Diceros bicornis minor: one gene and its partners. The protein of the gene in region 2 purifies or fractionates together with the protein of the main gene of each other region. This does not show direct contact. Links are inferred from orthologs where the notes say so. Each region holds a gene or a part of one and is shown on either strand. Other genes may lie near its edges.

What was found.
Region 1: the proteins of MAP3K7 (region 2) and CARD11 purify together in Homo sapiens (affinity purification with western blotting; 3 studies listed by BioGRID). This does not show direct contact. The link is inferred for Diceros bicornis minor from reciprocal best matches to the Homo sapiens genes MAP3K7 and CARD11.
Region 3: the proteins of MAP3K7 (region 2) and RIPK2 purify together in Homo sapiens (affinity purification with western blotting; 4 studies listed by BioGRID). This does not show direct contact. The link is inferred for Diceros bicornis minor from reciprocal best matches to the Homo sapiens genes MAP3K7 and RIPK2.

What each region holds. Positions count from the first base shown.
Region 1 is NC_080765.1:11,558,800-11,565,698, forward strand, and holds the start of CARD11 (caspase recruitment domain-containing protein 11), read left to right. Parts: upstream 1-3,886; 5' UTR 3,887-4,055; coding exon of another isoform or gene 4,056-4,068; intron 4,069-6,899. UniProt on the Homo sapiens protein: Adapter protein that plays a key role in adaptive immune response by transducing the activation of NF-kappa-B downstream of T-cell receptor (TCR) and B-cell receptor (BCR) engagement.
Region 2 is NC_080762.1:42,350,039-42,357,406, forward strand, and holds the start of MAP3K7 (mitogen-activated protein kinase kinase kinase 7), read left to right. Parts: upstream 1-4,353; 5' UTR 4,354-4,533; coding exon 4,534-4,653; intron 4,654-7,368. UniProt on the Homo sapiens protein: Serine/threonine kinase which acts as an essential component of the MAP kinase signal transduction pathway. Plays an important role in the cascades of cellular responses evoked by changes in the environment.
Region 3 is NC_080760.1:9,528,183-9,536,155, reverse strand, and holds the start of RIPK2 (receptor-interacting serine/threonine-protein kinase 2), read right to left. Parts: upstream 3,014-7,973; 5' UTR 2,938-3,013; coding exon 2,765-2,937; intron 1-2,764.

The DNA of each region.
Region 1 (6,899 bases), on a different chromosome or scaffold from region 2:
GTTTGGGGGGCACTGCTTTAGGGGGCCCAGGCAGGGGATGGTCTAGGCAGGCTGTCCCTCTGCTTAATGTCACATGGGAAGTGGCTTCCTTGGGCCACTGCCCCCATTCCAAGAGCCCTTGACCCTCAGAGCAGGTTTCATTAAAAACATTTCTTTGCCTTCGCCGGGGGAGCAGCTGAAGCCACACAGAGGCAGGGTAGAGGAGGGAAGTGTCCAGAGAATGCTCCAGTCAGCCCTTCCATCCATCCATCATTCAGTGTCTGCCCCGCCTTCCACACCTGCGCTGCCGTCAGACCAGATAGATCTGAGGGGTTCCGCAGGGGAAGAACCACACCCATATGCTGCCCCCTCTCCCCTGCATAGCCAGTCCTGGTGGTCTAGTGGTTAAGATTTGGCGCTGTCACCACTGCAGCCTGGGTTTGCTCCTTGGCCAGGGAACCACACCAGCCATCTGTCGGTTGTCATACTGTGGTGGCTGTGAGTTGCTGTGATGCTGAAAGCTATGCCACCGGTATTTCAATACCAGCAGGGTCACCCATGATGGACAGGTTTCAGCAGAGCTTCCAGACTAAGACAGACTAGGAAGAAGGACCTGGCCACCCACTTCTGAAAAAATTGGCCTTGAAAACCCTAGAAGAGTTGGGGCTTCTGTTTACGGGCCTTCTGTCTTCCAGAAATGCATCGCACCTGTCCACTTGATTACTTTCCTGGCACCTCTGTTAACTCATCGCCCACCGTTCTTTGCTGTCATTTCAGCAGGTTTTCAAAGAGGAGGTGAAAGTTTGTATTTAGTTCACTGTCTGGAACCAGAAGTCCTTATTCAAAGACTTTTGAATCACCTTCGTTCTGGGGTCACAGAAGAATCAAGTTTTAAAAGGACATGCCTGGGCGGGAGGGAACTTTCTGGGTAATGGTAGTGTTCTACATTATATCAACACTGTCCCATAAAAATATAACGTATAATTTTAAATTTTCTAGTAGCACCATTAAAAAAGAAATGTGAAATTCATTTTAAATTTTATTTATTTATTTATTTTTTCCCCCAAAGCCCCAGTAGATAGTTGTATGTCATAGTTGCACATCCTTCTAGTTGCTGTATGTGCGACGCGGCCTCAGCATAGCTGGACAAGCGGTGCGTCGGTGCGCGGCCGGGATCCGAACCCGGGCCGCCATCAGCAGAGCGGGCACACTCAACCGCTAAGCCACGGGGCCGGCCCTGAAATTCATTTTAATAATTTATTTTATTTAACCCAACATATCCAGAATATTATTTCAACATCCAATCAATATCAAAATTACGAATGAGAGGTTTTGCATTCTTTTTTACATACCATGTCTTCAAAATCTGGTGTGTCTTTTATACTTATAGCACCTCAATTCAGACACTAAATTTTCCTTGAAAATGTTTGACCTGTACTTAGATTTTGTAAAATTTACAGATGAAAAAGTAGATTAATATACTCAAATTGCTCTCAACATACTTAAAATTTTCCAATAACAGAATCAAATGTCAGTTTTAGATTTTAATTAAAATTAAATGGAATTTAAAATTTGGTTCCTTATTCACACCAGCCACATGTCAAGTATTCAACAGCCAGTCGTGATCAGCGGCTGCTACATTGGACCACACTGTTCTATATCTTCACAAGGATTTTGGTTACACAGTATAGACATTCGTCAAAACTCATTTCATGATGTAGTTAAAATCTGTATGTAAATTTTACCTAAAAAAATCTCTCTAAGTAATGATATGCATGACGAAGGATTTAAAGGTGAAGTACGTTGATGTCTTCAACTTACTTAGAAATGCATCCAAAAAAAAAAAAAAAAAAAGACGGATTGATGGCTAGAGGGATAGATGGACAGATATGTGATAAATTTGGCTATAAATATAGCCAAATGTTCACTGTAGAACTAGGTGGTGGGATATATGGGTATTCACTATACAATCCTTCTAACTCTTCTGAATGTTAAATTCTAAGGTGTTGGGGAGAGAGAGACATGTCTTCAATGAACTATACCTGCTTGTAACCCCACCACTAAATCTGAAAAACATGATGTTGGGTGAAAGAAGCCAGACCCAAAAGAGAATCCACGTATGGCTCCGTTTATATAGTTTTTGAACTTTACAGGCAAGATATCAGATAGAACCGATCTATGCTGTTAGAGATCAGAATGTGATTATCCTTGGTGTGGGGGAGGCGGTGACTAGAAGGGGGTGTAAGGGGGAGTTCTGGGGTTCAGACAAAGTCCTATGTTTTGCTATGGGTGGCGGTCACGTGGGTGTGTTGGTTTTGTGAAAATTCATCAAGCTTTTTGCAGAATTTGTGCACTTAACTGTGTATATCTCTCCATAATCAGTTTTGTTGCTGTTTTAAGGCATGCCTACCCTTCATATCCTGCATGAGGGAAACCAGAGTTCTCCTTCAAACCGGCACTGCCTGATTTACAGGCTTCTCGGAGTGCAAAGGAGATTTCTCCCTGGTCCCCAGGAGTCACTGGGCACGAGGATGCTGTGGGCCTTGGTATTTATTTTAGGAATTTTCCCACTTTGCAGTTCTTGATTGCGTTTTTGAACACGCTTTGCAGAAAGCAAACTTGTGTCTTCCTTAATCCCTGGCGGGTGTGCATTAGTACAGCCTGGCTCCTCAAAATTGCCAGGACTGTGAATGCTCTTGCGCTGGGGCCACACCGCTGTTAATTATTTATCTTTTTGCTTAGTGGTTGAATTTATGGAACGGCTTTCCCTCCGGGAGCTCAAGGAGCTTTTCTCAGAGAACTTAAAACACGAAACAGGAGGGTATGTTCGCTAGCTGTCATAGGGGGAATCAAAAGAGGGGGAGGAGGGTGAGAAGAGAGTGGTAAACTGAGGCAGAGCAGAAGCAGAGGTTGGGGGCTGGGGAAACGGTGGCGAATCAGCAGTCGGGAGACTAGAGCCCAAGATTCTCTGCATGTTCCCAGGTCCTCCACAGATTTTCAAGTTCAGGACTCAGATAAAACCTCGGGACTTTCCCACCCATACAGTACTTATCGTGAAAGAGTGATGCACCCAGAAGCCTACGCCATGGCTTTTGGAGGAAACTACTAAAACGACGACATCCAGAAATCAGTTTCTCCTACAAGTGTCCTTCACCAGGACTGAGAGCACTAGCAGGGGTGGCTGTGCTGGGCCGAGACAGCGGGGTGAGGAGGCTACAGGTAGACTGTCACTGTAAAGTGTCCAGAAGGGGTGTGGGAGCACCGTGGAGGATGCTGACGGCCAGGCAAGCCCCAGGAAGCTTCCAGAACAAAGGCTGAAGGAGGAAAGAGGCCTGCGGTTCCCACGCTGCGGAGTGCCTTGCTTCTCACTCCTTTGTGGGAAAAGCTTCCGCCCCAAATCGCAAAGACACAGTCTGGAAGTTCTCCAGAATGTGGCCAATTCCTCTAAAATGACAGCTGCCCAAACCTCCCACACAGAGCCTGGAGAACCCAAAACCAGGCGTCCCTTCCCAAGGCCACACCTGGGTTCTGGCAGGTTTTCTGGGCCAGGGTTAGGTGGACTTGGGGTCAGAGCTCGGTGGGGCTGACGGCCCCAGCTGGGGTCCAGCCTCACCCTGCCTGGGGCAGGTGGCCTGGCCCCTGGGGCCTGCCCGGGTCTCCCCACCCCTGGTCCACCCGTCGCCGGTCCCCGCAGCGCCCCCATCCCCGGGTCCCCCCACCACCCCCACCTCGTTACCGATGCCTCCTCCCAAGGCCCGGGACCCAAACTCCGCCCCCTCCCCCTCTTCCTTATCTCTTTTTCTAACCTTTTGCATTTTTTAGTCTCATTTCCTGTCGGGTTTTGCATTTCCCTCCCCCGCCCCTCCCAGCCTGTGACACACTTTCTCTCCTTTTTTCTCTTTTGCCTCCTCTGGCCTCCGGACTCCTGCCCGGGCTGCGCGCAGCCCCCTCCCGGCCCTGCAGCCCCTGGGCGGGCGGCGCCCCTCGGACGGTCCGGGCGGCGGGGACCGAGGGCCGGGGCGCCGGGAGGCAGCCGGCGGCCTGCGCGGAGGAGGCGCCCGCGCGGCTGGCGGAGCATGAGCGCCCCAGGTAGGCGCGGCGTCCGCGGGGGGAGGGGTGCGGGGGGAACGCGGTCGTGGTGGGGGATGCGCCTGGGGGGAGCACGGAGGCGCCGCTGGGGGGATGCCGCGCGGGGCGCCGTGGGGCGGGGGGCGCGAGTGGCTGGCCCCGCTCGCCCCCGCGGTGCTGGGCCCCCATCCCTCTCGCGCCATCTCTTTTTCCTACTTCCCCTCCTTCTCTTCACCCTTCCTTCCAAACCTTTTTCTTGCTTCCACTTTCCACCTCCCTTATCTCTCCTCCGTGTTCCTCTCGGATCGTCTGTCTCTAAGTGGCTTCCCCTGGCAAAGTCCTCGCGCCCCTCAGAGAGGACAGGGATGAGTGGGGGGTCGGGGGCAGCGGCCCGGCAGGGTGCCCCTCGGTGCACCTGCCCCAGAGGGAGGAAAAGAACCTTTTTTAACACCTGAAAGGACAGGAAGTTTCCAGACCACAGCCAGGCCTGACTCAGAGGCTCCTGAGAAGGTGGGGCCCCCGGGGGTAGGAGGGGAGAAGGACAGCCCCTCCCATGGGGAGTGACGGCAGGGGCCCGGGAGGGGCCAGAATGAGGCCCTAGTGGCCTCGGGCCTGGAGTCGCCTTCCCCGCGACACTTGCCTCCCGCAGGACACTGCCCAGGCCAGATGGCCTCGGAAGCTCTCCTGAGCTCTGGGCACAGGGAGGGGAGCTGGGTTTCTGTCCCTTTAGGGTTCAGAGCACAGTTGGAGGGGGCCACAGGGGGACAGTTATGCTGTAGGGAGCAGCCTCCCCAGCTGGGCCTGCCCCACCATCAACAGGTTTGTCGAAGCTGGTAGCTCATGAGTGTCAACAGAGGGCCACCTGCACCAACTTGGTCTTGGACCAGACTGACCTGTGTGTCCAGCCTGTTCCCAGAGCCTCTGATTTGTAGGTGAACAAGTTTCTCCTGACATTTATGACTCCTCTTGAAGGTGTAAGGTTACTGACCTACCAGAAAGGAGAAAAACGGTCAGTCACTCAGTCACTCAACAATTACCGAGCAACTACTCTGTGTGTAGTGTGTGCTGGAAATCCCGTGCGCCACTGATTGATTCGAGGACAGGCATGTAGCTCAAATGCTGCGCTTCTGTCCTTTCCCTGAATCTCCACTTCTCTCCACCCCGACGGCAGCTGTAAAGAAGTGATGGTTCCCAGGTGGGCCAGGGGTGACCTGGGGCCAAAGGGAGCCTCGGACCCAGCCTTGTCACATCCCAGAAAATGGTTTGGAGGTACGCACCCGTATCACAAAGGAAGGCTGGTAGCCCCACCCGTCCAAAGTCTTGAGTCTGCAGGTGAATGATCCTTTGTGTGATTTTTTTTAAATTGTGGTAAAATCCACATAACACAAAATTAACCATTTTTAAGTGTACAGTTCAGTGGCATTAAGAACATTCACGTTGTTGTACACTATCCATCTCCAGAACATTTTTGTATTCCCAAACGGAAACTCTGTCCCCATTAGACCCTAACTACCCCCGCCCCCATTGTACTTTCTGTCTCTATAAATCTGACTGCTTTAGCCACCTGACATAAGTGAACTCCTACAGTTTTTGTCTTTTTGTGACTGGCTTATTTCACTTAGCGTAGTGTCCTCAAGATTTATCCATGTTGGAGATGTGTCAGAATTTCCTTCCTTTTCAAGGCTGAATCATACCCCGTTGTCTGGATGGACCCTGTTGTGTTTGCCTGTTCATCCTTTGTGATCCTTTAAAGTGACTTGTAAACATAACTCTTCTTCTAAAGATGATGGGCCTTGTTTGAGTCAGTCAGTGGGCACTGTCTAGGTGGCGCTGTGCTGTGCGTCGTGGGGACACACAGAAGGAACGTGAGACCCAATGTCCCTGCCCTGAGTGGGTCGTGTGTACGGCGTGTGTGTGCTGTGATCCAAGTGTGGCTGAGACTCACGCTAGATGGGAAAGAGTTGAGGGAAGGGAGGATGGCGGGAGGCACATTAGGAGATGGTAGGACTCAGAGGGCCCAGGGATTGATAGAAGGTTCCAGGCGGAGATTGTGCTGGAAGAGCAACCTCCTGACGTCCTTCTCCACTTTCTTACGTAGTGTTTCTCCACCGCTGTGATACGAGACTTGCTTCCGGGACTGAAGGGCTGTGGCTGGTTTGGTGGCGAGGGGAGGGGGTGGAGGATAACGAGGCTGCTCCTCTGAGTATCGCTCCTCATAGTACTTCGTGCAGGAAGGCCAGATTGAGTGCCCGACGTTCAGATTATTGTGAGGGAAACGAGCGTCAGATGCTGATCGCGGAGCCTCCTCATGTCAGTTTAAAACTGCCTTTCCATCTCTCTTGCTTAGCCGCTGCACCCAGCCTCGAAGACAGTGCCTCCTGGTAATTGGGACGGGGGTCAAGTCCCAGGTGGGCCAGAATTCCCAGATGAGCCCCTGACACAGAGAGTGACTGCTGTTGCTTTGCAAAACCAGATCTGTGAAACTTGGGTTAAAAGAAAAAGTCAGGCCAAGGGAAGAAGGCAACCACCTTTTGGGTCTGTGGCTGTGTGGGAGAGTGGGAAGGAAGGTCACACTGTGGCCCTGGACATGTGTTGCAGTCTCGACTGCTCATCTGTGGTCGCCCTTTGGCCTTGGACAGACCTGTCATCACTTCAGATCTCTGAGGGTCCTTTCTCTCCAGTGAGCTCAAGGTATTAATACTGATTATTTTCAGGATTGTCAGTTACACCAAGCGTAAAATGAAAAAACATGAGATGTGACATACTCTTAACTTTGCTGTTATTCCCGAGATCTGGTTGGACGTTGAGGTCCAGACCTAGGGCGGGAATGCCACCTTTCCCACAAACACCAG
Region 2 (7,368 bases):
CTTTTTCATATCAAGTATTTCAAAATCAATGATGGAGATTTTATCTGCAGGACACATGGCACCACCAAAGCAGTTACCCTGCAGCTAGCTTGGTTGAGGCGGAAAAAAAGAACATTAGCTGCAAACAGAAGTTTCAGCTATATGCAATGTCAGAGAATGCCCTGAAGCTGCACCTGCCAGAAGCCTCTACTCCACTTTCGCAGGCCTACTCTTACTAGCCACATTGTTGGTACCTGGAACACAAATCCTTCCAGCAGCTCCATGGGCTGCAAAAGACCTAAGATGAAGATGTGGGGAGTAGAAAATTTGGAATGAACTCAAATATCAAAGAAATGCAGGAATTTGGGGAGCTGCTCTCCAGCAGTGTCACTGAATTGCTAAGGGGTTGGCTATCCTCTGTGTACTGCAGTTTTGAATATAGTACAGCAGAAAACTATTTCTGAACTTCCTGGAAAGAATAATATTTGATTGAGTTGGGCTAGTTTGGTTCTGGGACAAGCAGTAAAGACAGCACTTTCTAGGTATAGAGCTCAACCTGAATAGACATATGAATAATGAACATTTGTTGACTGTATACCCAGCAACCATTCCCTGCTTTGCCCTTCCTAAGAGTCTTCAGATTTTTCTTGTAGTTAGCAGCTCCTCCTTCTCAAAGTCCATGTTTTCTCAGTCCTGGATCTAAACTAAACAAGATATTTGCAACCTCAACTCTCCTGTTCCCCATTCCTCACTCAAGGGTACAGTTGTCAAGGGCTTTTGAAAAAGAAAGTTCTTTGCTCTTCTGAGATAGCTACCAAAAGATGCTCTCTGTTATTGTACTGGACAGTGTGACATGTCATATGAAAAATGAAACTGCTGGAACGTGCGTTCTCAATGGGGATGATATCACCTCCAAGGCGGTGAAAATTAAGGAGAGAAAAAAACAACACTTTTTATGTATAAAGCATAAATATGCATACAGTACATAAACAGATACACAGTATATCCGTGGTATTAAAACTTTGGGAAGGCATTTAAAACAACCTTAAAAGGCTCCTGGAGCCGGGGGGCAATAATGAAAACAAAAGTTGAGAAACACTGTTCTAGAGCAATGGCACATACCACAAAAGGCAGAAGACAATGGAAACTCAATTTTTGATGCTAACATTAAGTTTATGAATCAAGACACCTGAAGCCTCTTCTACCTCTTGACTTTCCACTTAACTAAGCCAATAAATCCCCTTTATTGTTTCAAGTATTATGTGTTGAGTTTCCTGTTACTTATAACAAAAGTGATACTGACTGATAAAATAGGAAACACTTTATCTAAAGTTAATCTAAATGTATTACACACGCCAATGCAACAGAACTTTAAAGTGGAACTATTTTAATCTGTTTCTGCTAAGTCTCCATGAAAACAGGTGCCAGGTGTCCTTATATCCAAAATGAGGCAAATAGGATGAGAATCCCATTTAGAACATTCAGAGATGTTGGGAAATGGATTTTGAAACTCTTGGCCCTCATCCCCTGGATAGTATAAAAGTGTTAAAATTGAAGACAGAGTTGAAGGTTAGAGTAGTTATTAGGACATTAACATGAGGGTGGGTGGTGGAGAGTGATCAAACTGGGAGGGACTTAAAGACCACTTAAATAGCTTGATATGTATCTCTGGAAATTTGTAGAGACACAATAGACTGGTGACTGAAGTTGACATGAAATTGTGACGTCCAAGCTTCCATCCTTAACTCATGAAAGCTGAAGAAGTTAAAGGGGATGCAAAGTCAAAACTGGGGTGAACTAAAATGGGTTCAGCTCCCTTCCCTCATTTCTCTGGATTCAAACTGTATTACTTAGGATTGTTTGATTGCAAGTGACAAAAATACAACTCGAATCAGCTTAAACGAAAAAATGGGAATTTACCAGCTCACATAATCAATCACAGAATGGAAGAGGTAGACTGCATTTGGGGGATGACTGGATTCACAGACATGAACATTGCTGGGATTTTATTATCAGAAGCTAGTGAAAAGGCACCATGCAGACCAAAAAAAGGGTGGTCTGCAAGCAAATAGGACAAGAATTGATTTTAAACTAGTATCAATATCAGAAGTCGAAATCAGTGGATAAAACACAAAAGTAGAAGTATTGGGGTAGACGGTCAAAATCATGCAGGAAATCCACTTTGAAATGCATTCAATCAAAAAAGATAAATGTATGTTTGTATGGGTGGATGGACAGATGGACAGGTATATGATAAAGCAAGTATACTAGAATGTTAATGGTAGAATATTCTTGCTAAGTACATAGGTGTTCACTGTAAAATTCTTTCAACTTTTGTATGTTTGATACTTTTCATAAAATGTTGTGGGAACACCAAGCAGGAGAACAACATCAGGGCTGTAGTGATTAGTCCCTTCTCAGCAGGATTCTAGTCCTAAACTGAAGGTATACAAAACAGATCTTGCACTCCAGGGAAACGAAGGACTGACAAAAGCTATTCATTCATCCAGAATATATAACAAATATTTCTTGAGTTCCCACTTGATAGCATCCACTGTATTAACATCAAGGTGGTAAAGAGAAATCAGATATGACGCACAGAGTGATAGCACAAGGTTAAGAGGTGACCATCCTAGTTTGGGAATTCAAGTAGAGAAATGACAGATAAAAATGGTTATCCCATTGACTTAATCTGGTTCTATTTGGTTATCAGTGCCCTAACCATCGTTTTACATGCAGAAATAAAGCCCTGATTTCCCACTTGGACAACTGAGTAGATGATGGGATCCTTCACGAAGACAGAAAATGCGCACGGAAGAATGTATTTGTGGTGGGTGGTAACTTCAATTTTTTTTTGGAATCTTCAAGTTTTGGTGTTTATGTTATATCTAAATAGAGATGTCCAATAAGTCCAGAATTCATGAAAAATTTGAGTAATGGGAGAGATTGGGAGTTATCATCATATAAGCAGTATAGGTGGTCAAGATCTTGGGTAAGATCATCCAGAGAGTGTACAGTGAAAAGAAATTATTCTTTCTTTCATTCTTTTATCCATTCACCAAACTATCATTGAGTGTTACTAGAACCATGAATGAAGAAAGACAATGTATTCCAGGAGTTCATAACCTCTTGATCGCCAAGTCAAATGACCTATTTGCTAACCCAAATGTGTTTAACTTACTTCTGTACAGCATTTATTTGGTTGGCTGCTCTTTAACAAGAAAGCTCTCCTCCAGTGATATTTGGATCATCATTCCCCTGACTATCTCCCTATCTGTTCCTTTTTGGTCTCTTACTGAGATTCAGATTTTGATATTCACAGGCTTTCACCTTGGGTCCTTAAACCTTCATTTCGAACTCCAATTTTCCCAGTTAGTCTTTAGGTCAAACCGACTAAATAAAAACTAACATTTAGTTTAAAACTAAAAACTGTGTTGATAGCACAACACAGGCAATACTATCCGGAGATATACTGACAGGTTCTACCAGCTTGTGAGAATCATAATTGTTTTAACCTCTCTGAGCCTAATTTCTCATGTCCTGAAAATGGAAAAAATATATATTATTTTGCAAGGCCTTTGTTAATGATTAAGTTATAAATGCACAGCATCTAGCACAGTGCTCTGCACTCGATACGTACTGTTAATATAACCCATAACTTCAGATGAACACAAATTATGCCAAATTACAAATATCTCCCTTACCTAATATTAACTTCTATTCGTGAGTACTCAGCCTTCGTAGTGTTATTCAGGTTACATGCAGTGGCTCGCTCTGTATTATTTGCTTTAGAATCTGATAGCGTCAAAGTAACAATAGCAACCTGGCTCAAAGTAACAGTAGCAACCGCTTCCTTCCATATACCACATTGAGGGAAACACATTTTCCAAGGCTTCTTAAAGAAACAGTTCTGCTTAGCTTACTTTTAGCTTAGCTGAAAACTAAGCTTCGTCACAAAAACTCAGTCCAACACCACCCCGTCCGTCTGCAGGTCTCTGAGAGAAGAGGAAGCGGGGCCTTAACGTAGTTCACGAAGCAAAGTTAAAAACGTAGCTTTTATCTTTCCCGCGGGTTGCTAAAGGACCAACCGCACCAATATCCCGTCGTCCTCCGCGCCACTTCCGTTCGCGCATTTTAATTACGACACTTCGTCAGCTCTCGCGGTATCATCCGGTTGCTGAGGCCCTTTAACAAAGATCTCGCGAAATTTGTTCTACAGGCCCAAGATAGCCTCTCACCCTCCCCTACCACACCCCCAACCTGTCCTTCCTTTCTCTGGCTCAATCACAAAATTCTCCCCTCCCCTCCCTTGAGCTCACGGCCCTCCTCCTGTTTCCGATTTCAGGCCGGAACCGGAAGTCTAGTGGGCGGGGCCCGGCGGCGGAAAACGCAGCGGAGCCGGAGCCGGGACTCGGCTGTGGCCGCTGCTTCTGTCCCCGCCGCGGATCGCCGTGGCTCCAGGCTGAAGGTCGGTCCGGAGGCGGGTGGGCGCGGGTCTCCCCCGGAGTGTCCGGGCGGCAGCCTCCCCGGGCCCCCCGGGCTCCACAAGGGATCATGTCTACAGCCTCCGCCGCTTCCTCCTCCTCCTCGTCTTCGGCCGGTGAGATGATCGAAGCACCCACCCAAGTCCTCAACTTTGAAGAGATCGACTACAAGGAGATCGAGGTGGAAGAGGTGAGCGAGGCCTGGCACGGGGCTCCGGCCCCGGCCTGTCCCCGCCTCTGCCTGGTCCCGACTCTTAAGGCGCCTCCCCGGCCCCTCTGATCCTCTGGGCCCCGCAGGGTCCACCCCGGAGTCCCCACAGAGACCGGGTATAGAGGGAACTCTCCGCGTTCAGCTGCTCCCCGATAGCTCTCTTTTTTCCTCACTTCGGCACTCTTGAGTTTGGATTTGATATTCTGGTGCCTGGATTTGGGTCATCTCAAACAGGAGGATGGACTGGTGAGGTAGTGTGGTCCACCAGTTCCCATGTCTCTAAGTAGTAAATTCGTCAAAGACCGTGGCCGTTTTGGAGTTTCAGCTCACTACGACGTGGTGTTCTTAAGGACCAAGGATTGTATTCTCTTCGACTCCTAGCTCGGTGCCTAGAACGTAGTGGATGCTCAATAAGTGTTTGGTAAATTAGCACATCACCATGTCTAGTAAAGTGTTTCCCCGGGTACCGAACGGTTCTGTTTCGCTGTTTCCATAGAGCAGTAGCTGTAATATTAAATGTTCTGCCATCAATTGGACTAATTTAGATGAATTTCACCATTAATAATGTAGACTGGTCTAGAAGGAAAGATGTCTCGAGTAGCATGTTCTGAAGAGCCAACTAATGATTTCGGTGACAACCAGAACATAACAGACAGAAATCGCTGTTAGAAAATCCGAATCCATCCTTAAGTTATTTTAGAGCAAAGTAATATGTGCCTTTAATACGTCCCTTCTTTTCAGATTCACAGAGAAGTAGACTGTTTCTAAGAACCATAAAATTTAGAAAAGTAAAAACTATATGTTTTAAAGATACACTTCAGAAAGTGTTAAAACTTTGGTTGAAAATAGTATCTATCAGTTACCATTTATTTATCATTTTTAAAATATATTAAGCACTTTACATAACGTATGCCATAAAGAACCCTGTATGTTCTCTTTTGTAGACTCTCAAAGAGTTATCTCTACTTTAAAAGTTCAAAATTATTTTTAGGTAGTGGCAAACTAAAAGTAATGGGATAGTTATCATTCAATAAATAAATTTTTTTCTATGCGGGTTTTGGAAGAATAATGGATTACTCAGTCGTATTTTTTTATTGCATAAAGTAACCTTAGAGATCACTGAGAACAACCTCATTTTACAAGGTAGTGTAAGTGGGAAGAGTGAGGCCTTTAAAGTTAAAGGAAGGTTCAGAATATCAGCTATGCCACTTATTAGCTGTGTGATTTGGAGCAAGGTTCCTAACTAACCCCTTTGAGCCTTGGTTTCCATAACTGTAAAATAGGGATAATAATTTCTATTTCATTTTATGTGTATAATAGATCCTATTAGGCAATATGTGCAAAACACAGTGCTTGACACATATTACTAAGAAACAGTTCCAGAGAGGAACATTGACCTGCTTTAAGGTCACATGGCTAAAAGAAGGACCTGTGTTTTGAAAAGGGGGCAATTTGTGTGTGTGTGTGTGTGTGTGTGTTTTCTATTGAGGCTAAATTCTATTGAGGATAAATTCCTTTTTCAGAAGTGGATAGTTGATCCAGCTTTCGTGGCTAACATTCTTTCTTTTTTAAGAATAAAAATTCAGTGAGTCAGTATAAAAGAATTGCAGTTTTTAAATAAGCATTTACGTCTACTCTGTGGCGAACTGCTGTGCTTGTAGACTACAAATTGTTATATAATAATAACTTGTGCTTCATAGTCTACCAAATGCTTTCACAGACTTACATTATTTGAGTCTTACAAGGTTGGTTTTCCACACACTACTTTCTAAAGCGTTTACCTTCTTGCTTCTTGGAAGAATGAAAGTTACTAAGGAGACAATTATCATTTTGTTGCTCTTCCACCAAAGCCATTTAACTTCTGATTAGATTTTTATGTTTCCAAAGACCCTCTTTCAGTTTAGACAATGTTTCAACCCGTCTTTGGTATATTTAGGACATTCCTGGGGAGTAGATTTTTGGTTTTAGATGAAAATTTCTAATATTAGACAGTCATTTAGCTGTGTTTTTTTCATTTTTTAATGCCAGTTTATTTTCACTTTAAAGATTGAATTTGGATCTTTCTAATGTTGAGACTATTACATAATTTCCATCATCATTTGCATACATTAAAACAGTGTTATATGATCCAGGGTTCACCGTGGGCACTCGGTAACTATTTCTCAACTTAGAATCTGCTTCTAGGTTAAAATCATGAATAAGAGAATAGAGGAAGATGACCAGAAACAAAAAGTATTTTACAAGGTTTGCAGTATTTTGTATGGTGCAAATATATTGCCTATAAATAAAGAAAATTGTATTCTGTATTTTTCAGATAACAATGTAATTGAATCAGCGTTATATCAATTCAGTTAGAAACTATGTAAGAAAAAAACTCCAACCACAGACCAAATTTGCAGTCATTTGGTAGATGCATATTTTTTAGGCATCAGCTGATTTTAATCCTTAAATTCCTAATGTTGTGACTCAGTAATATCAGCATGACACTTCCTAAATTCAGTTCTGATATCCAGTTATGTAAGGTCTCAGCCTCAGAAACATACGTAGATTTTTTTTTTTTTAAATCATTTAGTTTTTACCATTCTGGATCAGAGTGTAGAAAATGTTAGAATAAATTGTAAGGTATGTACATTGGGGACTAGGTTGCAAGAAGTGGTAAGGGCAGTGTGGAGTGGTGAAAAGTGTACTGGGCTG
Region 3 (7,973 bases), on a different chromosome or scaffold from region 2:
AAACAATTCTGTACTTGCATCAAGAGACACAGGTCAACAGACAAGTTATTGTGTAGCATCCTCGCAGGGAGACAGGATCCACCTGAAGATTCCTGGCTCCTCTGAGAAAGAACTACAGAAAGGGCATGCTGGGCAAGTCTCAGTGATACCTAATACTACACTCTTTCCTCCTCACATTACGAGCATGAGGCATTCTTCCTTCTCTTGTGATCCTATTATGTGTCAGCCACTTTATATGTACTATCATTCTAAAAGATCAGCCCTCTAAAGTTGGTTTCATTATCCCCACTTTATACATAAGGGCACTTGGGCTCAGATAAACTAATAATTTTCCAATGGTCATGCCAAAAATAAGTTGTAGGGTTGGAGTCAGATTTGAACTGCAATAGTGGGACTCAAAAACCTGTCTTGTTTCCATTCCACTGCTTAATCAGAGAAGAAAGAAAGTTCTTGAAGTCAAATTTTGGGAAGATTGAATGAGTGGGAAAACACTCATTTTTTTGAGTGTTTGAGCCAACATAAAAATGTTTTTGTATTTTTAAAAATAAAAATGTAAAATATACCGTCTGTAGACATATCACCAAAATTACCCAACTCAAAATTTCAGTCAAAAAACAGTTACATCATCTACAGGGTGTTTGAACAACTGATCAGACTCATCTACTCATAAGGAGTTGGGAGATTGCTGGAAGGTCTACTCATCGAGCAGAAGTCAGCCATCACTAAAATAACATGTAACAGCACAGAAACTTTTTTTTTTTTCAGGTGATCCCAAAGAACAATGCAAACATTATCTGCACCAGAGCCCAAGACGCACATGTATTTATCATTTCCACTTTATAAGTCAGGAAATAGACACCCTGTGAGTCAACTGCATAGCTCAGCCCTATGCTCAGACTACATAAATACTGCTAATGGTAACATCTAGGTAACAAGAAGGAGAAAAGGACATGATGCAGTAATGCCAGTGTTCCACTGGTTTTTATGGATTCTTTGACAACAGAATTACCTCCCTCACCCAATTTAGCAAAGAATTTTAGATTATGAAAATTGTTAATGAGTATAGTAAGGGAACTCCATTCCTTGGCTCCCAAATGGCACAAAACCTAGATAAATTAAAATCTTGAGACGCAGCATCCAAAATGGGAGGATCAATTTGCTTTAGAATACCTAATAGGTCCTACAATGCTAGATTTCCATATATTTGCGTATAAGTATAAAATATATCCACCCTCTCTAACCAACCACCACTCTTCAAAGTTGATTATGTAGTCATAGACACACACACATGCTTGCCCAGCACTTGCTCCCCAGAATTCAAGGTCCAGGGTAAACAGACACTATACCCTGTATACAGGTCACGAGATCTGGATTATGGTCTAAAAAATGTGGGACCAATCTCTACAAGTGTCTCAAGTCTACTGTGAGATCTAGCCCATCCAAGCTTGACAGCAAGAGACAGCAAAGAAAAGCCACAGGCAGATTAAAGTTCAGTTAACACTGTCAGGGTTGAAGCTGAGGAATCTACCTGATATTGGATACCAACAGCCTCCGGCCAATCAGGCATCTAGCGAGATGTATTTTCACACTACACTTAAGGGGAGGAGAGGAGAATGTTGCAGTCAAGGAGGTTAACTCACTAATAAATGAATGCAGGGTCTAGTTAAATCCCTATCGGTAGGAAAACACACAAGACTAGTGACTAGTCCCACTGACTAACACGTACAGTCACGGTATATGGTCGAAATGTTTTTCTGGAAATAGAAACTAATACTAGCCTTCCCTTCAAACCCGTACAGTGCACTAAAATGGTTCCAGGATGTGAGAGACAATCAAAATTTTTGGTCATTTAACAGTCTTCCGATTCAGTTTATTGTTAGCAAAAACAAAACACATTTCCTCTTGGGACAGACTTGCCTATGAGAGTGCAAGCCGAAACTAACCTGCTATGTTGAATTTGGTATCTAAACTTAGATAACTACCCGTGATAAACCACAAACCAAACAAAAACAACAACAAAAAGCCCAAACCAAAACATCCCAGACTCGAGGAGCACTGTTCAATAAAAATACAATGTGACCCACATGTACAATTTTAAATTTTACAGTGGCAACATAAAAAAAAGAAACACGTGAATTTTAACAATATCTTATATTTAGCCCAATATATCAAAAATATCATCTCAGTATGCTAACAACATAAAAGTTTAAATGAGATACTATAAATTCTTTTTTTTTTTTTAGTACTAAGTGCTCGAAATTCGGTGTGTATTTTACACTAATAGCACATTTCGGTTCCGAGGGCCACATTTCAAGGGCTCAAGAGCCACTTGTGGCTAACAGCTACCTACCGGGCGGCGCAGCCCTAGAGCCCGATTTCAAAGCGGAAAAAAAAGGAAAAAACCAAAGCAGGCAAAACCCGCACTCACTATATGAACACACATCAACGTCAACCGAGAGGACGTTTCGAGTTGGGCCGTGACTGCCGATTTTTGGTGTACGGAGAGAGAGGGCGCAGCAGAGTGCGAGGGAAAGAGCACAGAGGAGAAGAGAGACGAGCGGAAGAGTGCGACTGCCGCATCTCCCGAGAAGCCGGCTCTGCCCACCAGGCCAGCCCCAAGCCTCGAAGGACTGCCTGGAGGTGGAGGGCTGGCGCCGACCCAAGTGGTCCCGCTTGGGGTCTAGAGCCGGCCCGCCCGGGGCCGGCGTGGCGGGAGGGCAGGCAGCCGAGCTCGGCGCGGCCGCGCGCCGCGGGAGCGCCCTACCTGGCGAGCAGCGGGGTGTGGATGTGCAGGTGCTTCACCGCCACCTGAACGCGCCAGTCCGCGTGGCGGGCCGCCGACACGGTGCCCGACGCGCCGCGGCTCAGGTAGCGCAGGTCGGCGAGCTTGTGGTAGGGGACGGTGGGCAGGGCGCTGCAGATGGCGTCCCCGTCCATGGTCTGGCGCTCAGCCGCCGCCGCCGTCCGCAGCTCCCGCGGTCCTCGGCCGGCGCGGCCCGCCCTGCCGCCGACGCCAGGTCACGAGGCCGCCCGGCCCCGCGGCCGCGGTTTCCGGCGCCAGAGCGGCTCCCCAGCTCGGAGACGGGGTCGGCTCTGCGGCGGCGCGCGCGGGAGGAGCCTCCTCTCCGGACGGCCTCCCCGGCCGTTCGGCCTGGCCGCCCGACTCCGCCCTCCCGCTCCTCAGGCGGCGTCCGCGGCGGCCACTGCGCGGGAGGGCCCGCCGGCCGCCGGAGCTCCGCCCTCCCGCTCCTCAGGCGGCGTCCGCGGCGGTCACTGCGCGGGAGGGCCGCTGCGGCGGCGGGCTCGGGCCGGGTGTCAGGGGCGGGCGGGGCCGGAAGCGCTCCTCCGGTCTCCTCTCCCCAACTCCCCGGGTGTGGCGAAGCGTCCCTCTGGGGAAGGCTCCCGCAGCAGCCTACTTTGGTCAGCGGGCCCTCACGCGGGCGCTGGGCCGCGCGTCTTGGGGGAGTCGGGAAACCCGGGAGAGGGGGGCGGGGGCGCCAGGGGAGGGCGCCGGAGTCCCGATGCGCGCGTGCGCGGCGAGCGCCTGGAGGGAGCGTCGGACTTCCAGGGCTTTCCGCTTCCTGAGCCCCGCGAGGCACGAAGGGTGTACGTTCATTCACATGTCTCCCTGGACCCAGCCTTCTTTCGCCCTCAGTTAGTTCAAGAGGGAAGGGCGATGATAGCGCTTTCGGAGTTCAACCCGGGCAGCAGGTTCAGGGGTCTAGCTCCTGTTACGTGCTCCTCTACTAGGGACTGGCTTGTCTCTCTCGTCTTCTATCTTATGTTCGTAATTACATACGGAGATTGAAAAATAACCTCTAGAGAATCCAGCCGTCTGACTCCAAATAAGACTGCAAAAATTTCTTATAGGTCCGGGAGAAATGCAATCAGTGTTTAATGCCAACCAAAAAAAAAGACTGCAAACATAGTTCCATCTTTTTAGTTTAAGCAAACACGTTTCTACTTAGATGACTATTTTGTAGGATGTGACTGCAAATATTATATACAATACCAAGTCCATGCTGGGCATTTAATGAGTTCTGAGGCAACAGTAATAAGGAATGCCTGAGGCGAGTGGAGGTTTTCCGCCTACAGAGAACGAATGCTTCCTGTATTTTTGTATTGCCTGAAATGACAGTAGCAGTGTTACTTTTCACAATATGCAGTGGGAAGTTGTAATGAAATAGTGTATTTAAAAAATTTTGATCGTTTAAAATAAAAGGCTTAGCTTTAAAGATATGACTGGATACTTTGTATCCGATTTCCAATTCACTCATTCAACCACTCAGTTAACAAACTAAGAGTTGCAGAAAAAGAGAACAAAAAGTAAACAGGGAGGGAATGACCCAAATAATAATTCAAGAAATTTTGCCAGGATGGAAGGACAGGGGTCTCCATATTGAAAGGGGCCAACAGGTACCTACAGTGAATGAAAAAAGACCTGTATTAAAGCACATCATTAAAAAGGTCAGACACTAAGAATAAAAGATTCTAAAAGTTTTCAGAGGGAAGAAACAAGAATAAAGGGATGAGAATTAGAGTGGCATTGGATTTCTCAACAATAACACTTTTATGCTAAAACACTGAAGTGAAATTTCTTCAAAGTTTTGAAGGACAATAACTTCCAACCTAGAATGCTGTAGTCGCTCAAACTACCCAAGTATAAGAGCAGAATAAAAACATTTTGATATATACAAGGATGCAAACATTTACTTTCCATCCATCCACTTTTTATTTATTTTTTTTTTTTTGAGGAAGGTCAGCCCTGAGCTAACATCAGTGCTAATCCTCTTTTTGCTGAGGAAGACCTGCCGTGAGCTAACATCTATTGCCAATCCTCCTCCTTTTTTTCCCTTTTTCTCCCCAAAGCCCTAGTACATAGTTGTATGTCATAGTTGCACATCCTTCTAGTTGCTATATGTGGGATGCCGCCTCAGCATGGCCAGAGAAGCGGTGAGTCTGTGTGCGCCTGGGATCCGAACCCGGGTGGCCAGTAGCGGAGCACTCGCACTTAACCGCCAAGCCACGGGTCGCCCCCCCCCCCGTTTTTTTTTTTTTTAAAGAAAGCTACTAGAGGCTGTGCTCCAACAAAATATGGGAGTAAGTTAAGAAACAGAGAGGGCCGGCCCCATGGCTTAGCGGTTAAGTGCGCACGCTCTGCTACTGGTGACCGGGGTTGGGATCCCGGGCATGCACCGCCGCACCGCTTCTCCGGCCATGCTGAGGCCGCGTTCCACATACAGCAACTAGAAGGATGTGCAACTATGACATACAACTATCTACTGGGGCTTTGGGGGAAAAAAAGGAGAAGGATTGGCAATAGATGTTAGCGCAGAGCTGGTCTTCCTCAGCAAAAAGAGGAGGATTAGCATGGATGTTAGCTCAGGGCTGATCTTCCTCTCACACACACACACACAAAAGAGAGAGACATGAGATCCAGAAAACAGGACCAGAAGAATGGAAAGGGAAACCCCAGAATGAAAGATATGTAGCAGAATTGGAGAGCAACTTATTTTCACTGGAGCAGGAAGATGACAGACTCCAAGAAGAAAAACTCTAAAATAATTGAATTTATAGATTAATTTTGAATATTTGGGAAATTATATTGATAGGTGTTGGATATATCTAATGAAATACGTGGAGAGAGAACTTAAAATCTAAGAAAGTGAAAAAAAGGCAATTATTAATTCCATGAAAAATAAAAATTATACAAGAATGGAAGCAGCATTTCTCCAAACTGTTCCATGGTGGTGAAACTTTAAGACTTTTCAGAGCTTTTGAAATACTGGTATATTGTAAATCTCTAAGAAGGAGAGAGCATGCATCATAGAGCTCTATAAAATTTATTTATATTTTTAATTGCATTACTTTTAAATGTACTTTTAAAAAAATAAATAATATATTCACGTTTCAAAATTTAAAAGTGTAGAAGACAGACAATACAATAGAAAATTGGGCAGAAGACCTAGACACCTCACAAAGGGTGATATCTAAATAGCAAATGAAGATGAAAATATATTCAACATCATTAGTCATCAGAGAAGTACAAGTTAAAACCACAATGCAAGATCACTACACAAATACAAGAATAAAATTAAAAAGACAGATACCAAGTGTGAGTGAGGATTTGTAACAATTGGAACTCTTGTACAGTGCTGATGGGAGTGTCAATTGGTACAATCAATTTTGTAAACCGTATGGCAGTTACTATTAAAATTGCAGTTATGCAGATCTTATCACTCTCTCCTAGGTATGTGGACACGTATATGCATATACTAGAATGTTCGTAGCTGTGGTATTTATAATAGCTTCCAACTGGAAATTACCTAAATACCCATAAACAGTAGAATGGGTTAATAAATTGTGGCACATTTATACAATGGAATACTAAACAGCAGTGAGATTGAACAGTGTATGACAATATTGATGAATCACACAAATATAATGTTGGATTAAAAAAGCCAGACACAGAAGAGTACATATTGTATGACTACATTTCTATTAAGTACAAAAGTTAACAAAACTAACCTATACTTTTAGAAATCACAATAGTGGCCACTCTTGTAGGGTGGAGGTAGTGACTAAAAGGGACATGATGGGACGCCTGGGATGATAGTAATGTTCTGTTTCTTGATCTAGGACCTAAACTCTACGTGCCAGTTACACGGGTGCGTTCAGTTTATGAACATTCTTTAAGGTTACACTTAATGTGTACTTTTCTCTGTACATGTATATGCTATACTTCAATAAAAAGTTATTAGTATATATGAAACAAATATATGTGTATATATATATATATATAATGTCTCTCTTTCATGTAATTAGTACCACACTATATACCTGTTCACCTTGCTTGTTTTTCATTGAACAATATATCATAAATATCCTTCCTTATGAAAACAAACAAGAAATAAAAAGCTTCTTCATCTTTTTTTTTTGCTGAGGAAGATTCACCCTGAGCTAACATCTGCTGCCAATCATCCTCTTTTTTTTTTTGCTTGAGGAAGATTAGCCTGGAGCTAATGTCTGTGCCAGTCTCCCTCTATTTTGTATGTGGGATGCCACCACAGCATGGCTGACTAGTAGTGTACGTCTGTGCCCAGGATCTGAACCTGCGAACTCAGGCTGCCGAAGAGGAGCACACGGAACTTTAACTACTAGGCAACAGGGCTGGCACCTCTTTTTTTTTTTTGGTAATTATATTTTCTTCTATTTATAATTTTTATTGTAGTAACATAGGTTTATAACCTTATATAAATTTTGAGTGTACATCATTATATTTCAAATTCTGTGTAGATTACATCATGTTCACCACCCAAAGACTAATTACAATCCATCACCACACACATATGCCTAGTCACCCCTTTCACACTCCTGCCTCCCCTCTTCCCCTCTGGTAACCACCAATCCACTCTCTGTCTCTTTGTGTTTGTTGTTGTTTTTATCTACTATATATGAATGAGATCATACAGTATTTGACCTAATCCCTCTGACTTATTTTGCTTAGCATAATACCCTCAAGGTCCATCCATGTTGTCACAAATGGCTGGAGTTCCTCATTTCTTATGGCTGAATAGTATTCCATTGTGTATATATACCACATCTTCTTTATCCATTCGTCCCTTGATGGGCACTAGGTTGCTTCCAAGTCTTGGCTATTGTGAATAACGCTGCAATGAACATACGGGTGCATATATCTTTATGCATTCGTGATTTTATGTTCTTTGGGTAAATACCCAGCAGTGGAATAGCTGGATTATATGGTAGTTCTATCCTTAATTTTTTGCGGAACCTTCATACTGTTTTCCGTAGTGGCTGCACCAGTTTGCACTCCCACAAGCAGTGTATGAGAGTTCCCTTCTGTCCAACACTTGTTGTTTCCTGTGTTGTTAGTTATAGCCATTCTGACGGGAGTTAGGTCATATCTCATTGTAGTTTTGATTTGCATTTCCCTGATAGTTAATGATGTTGAA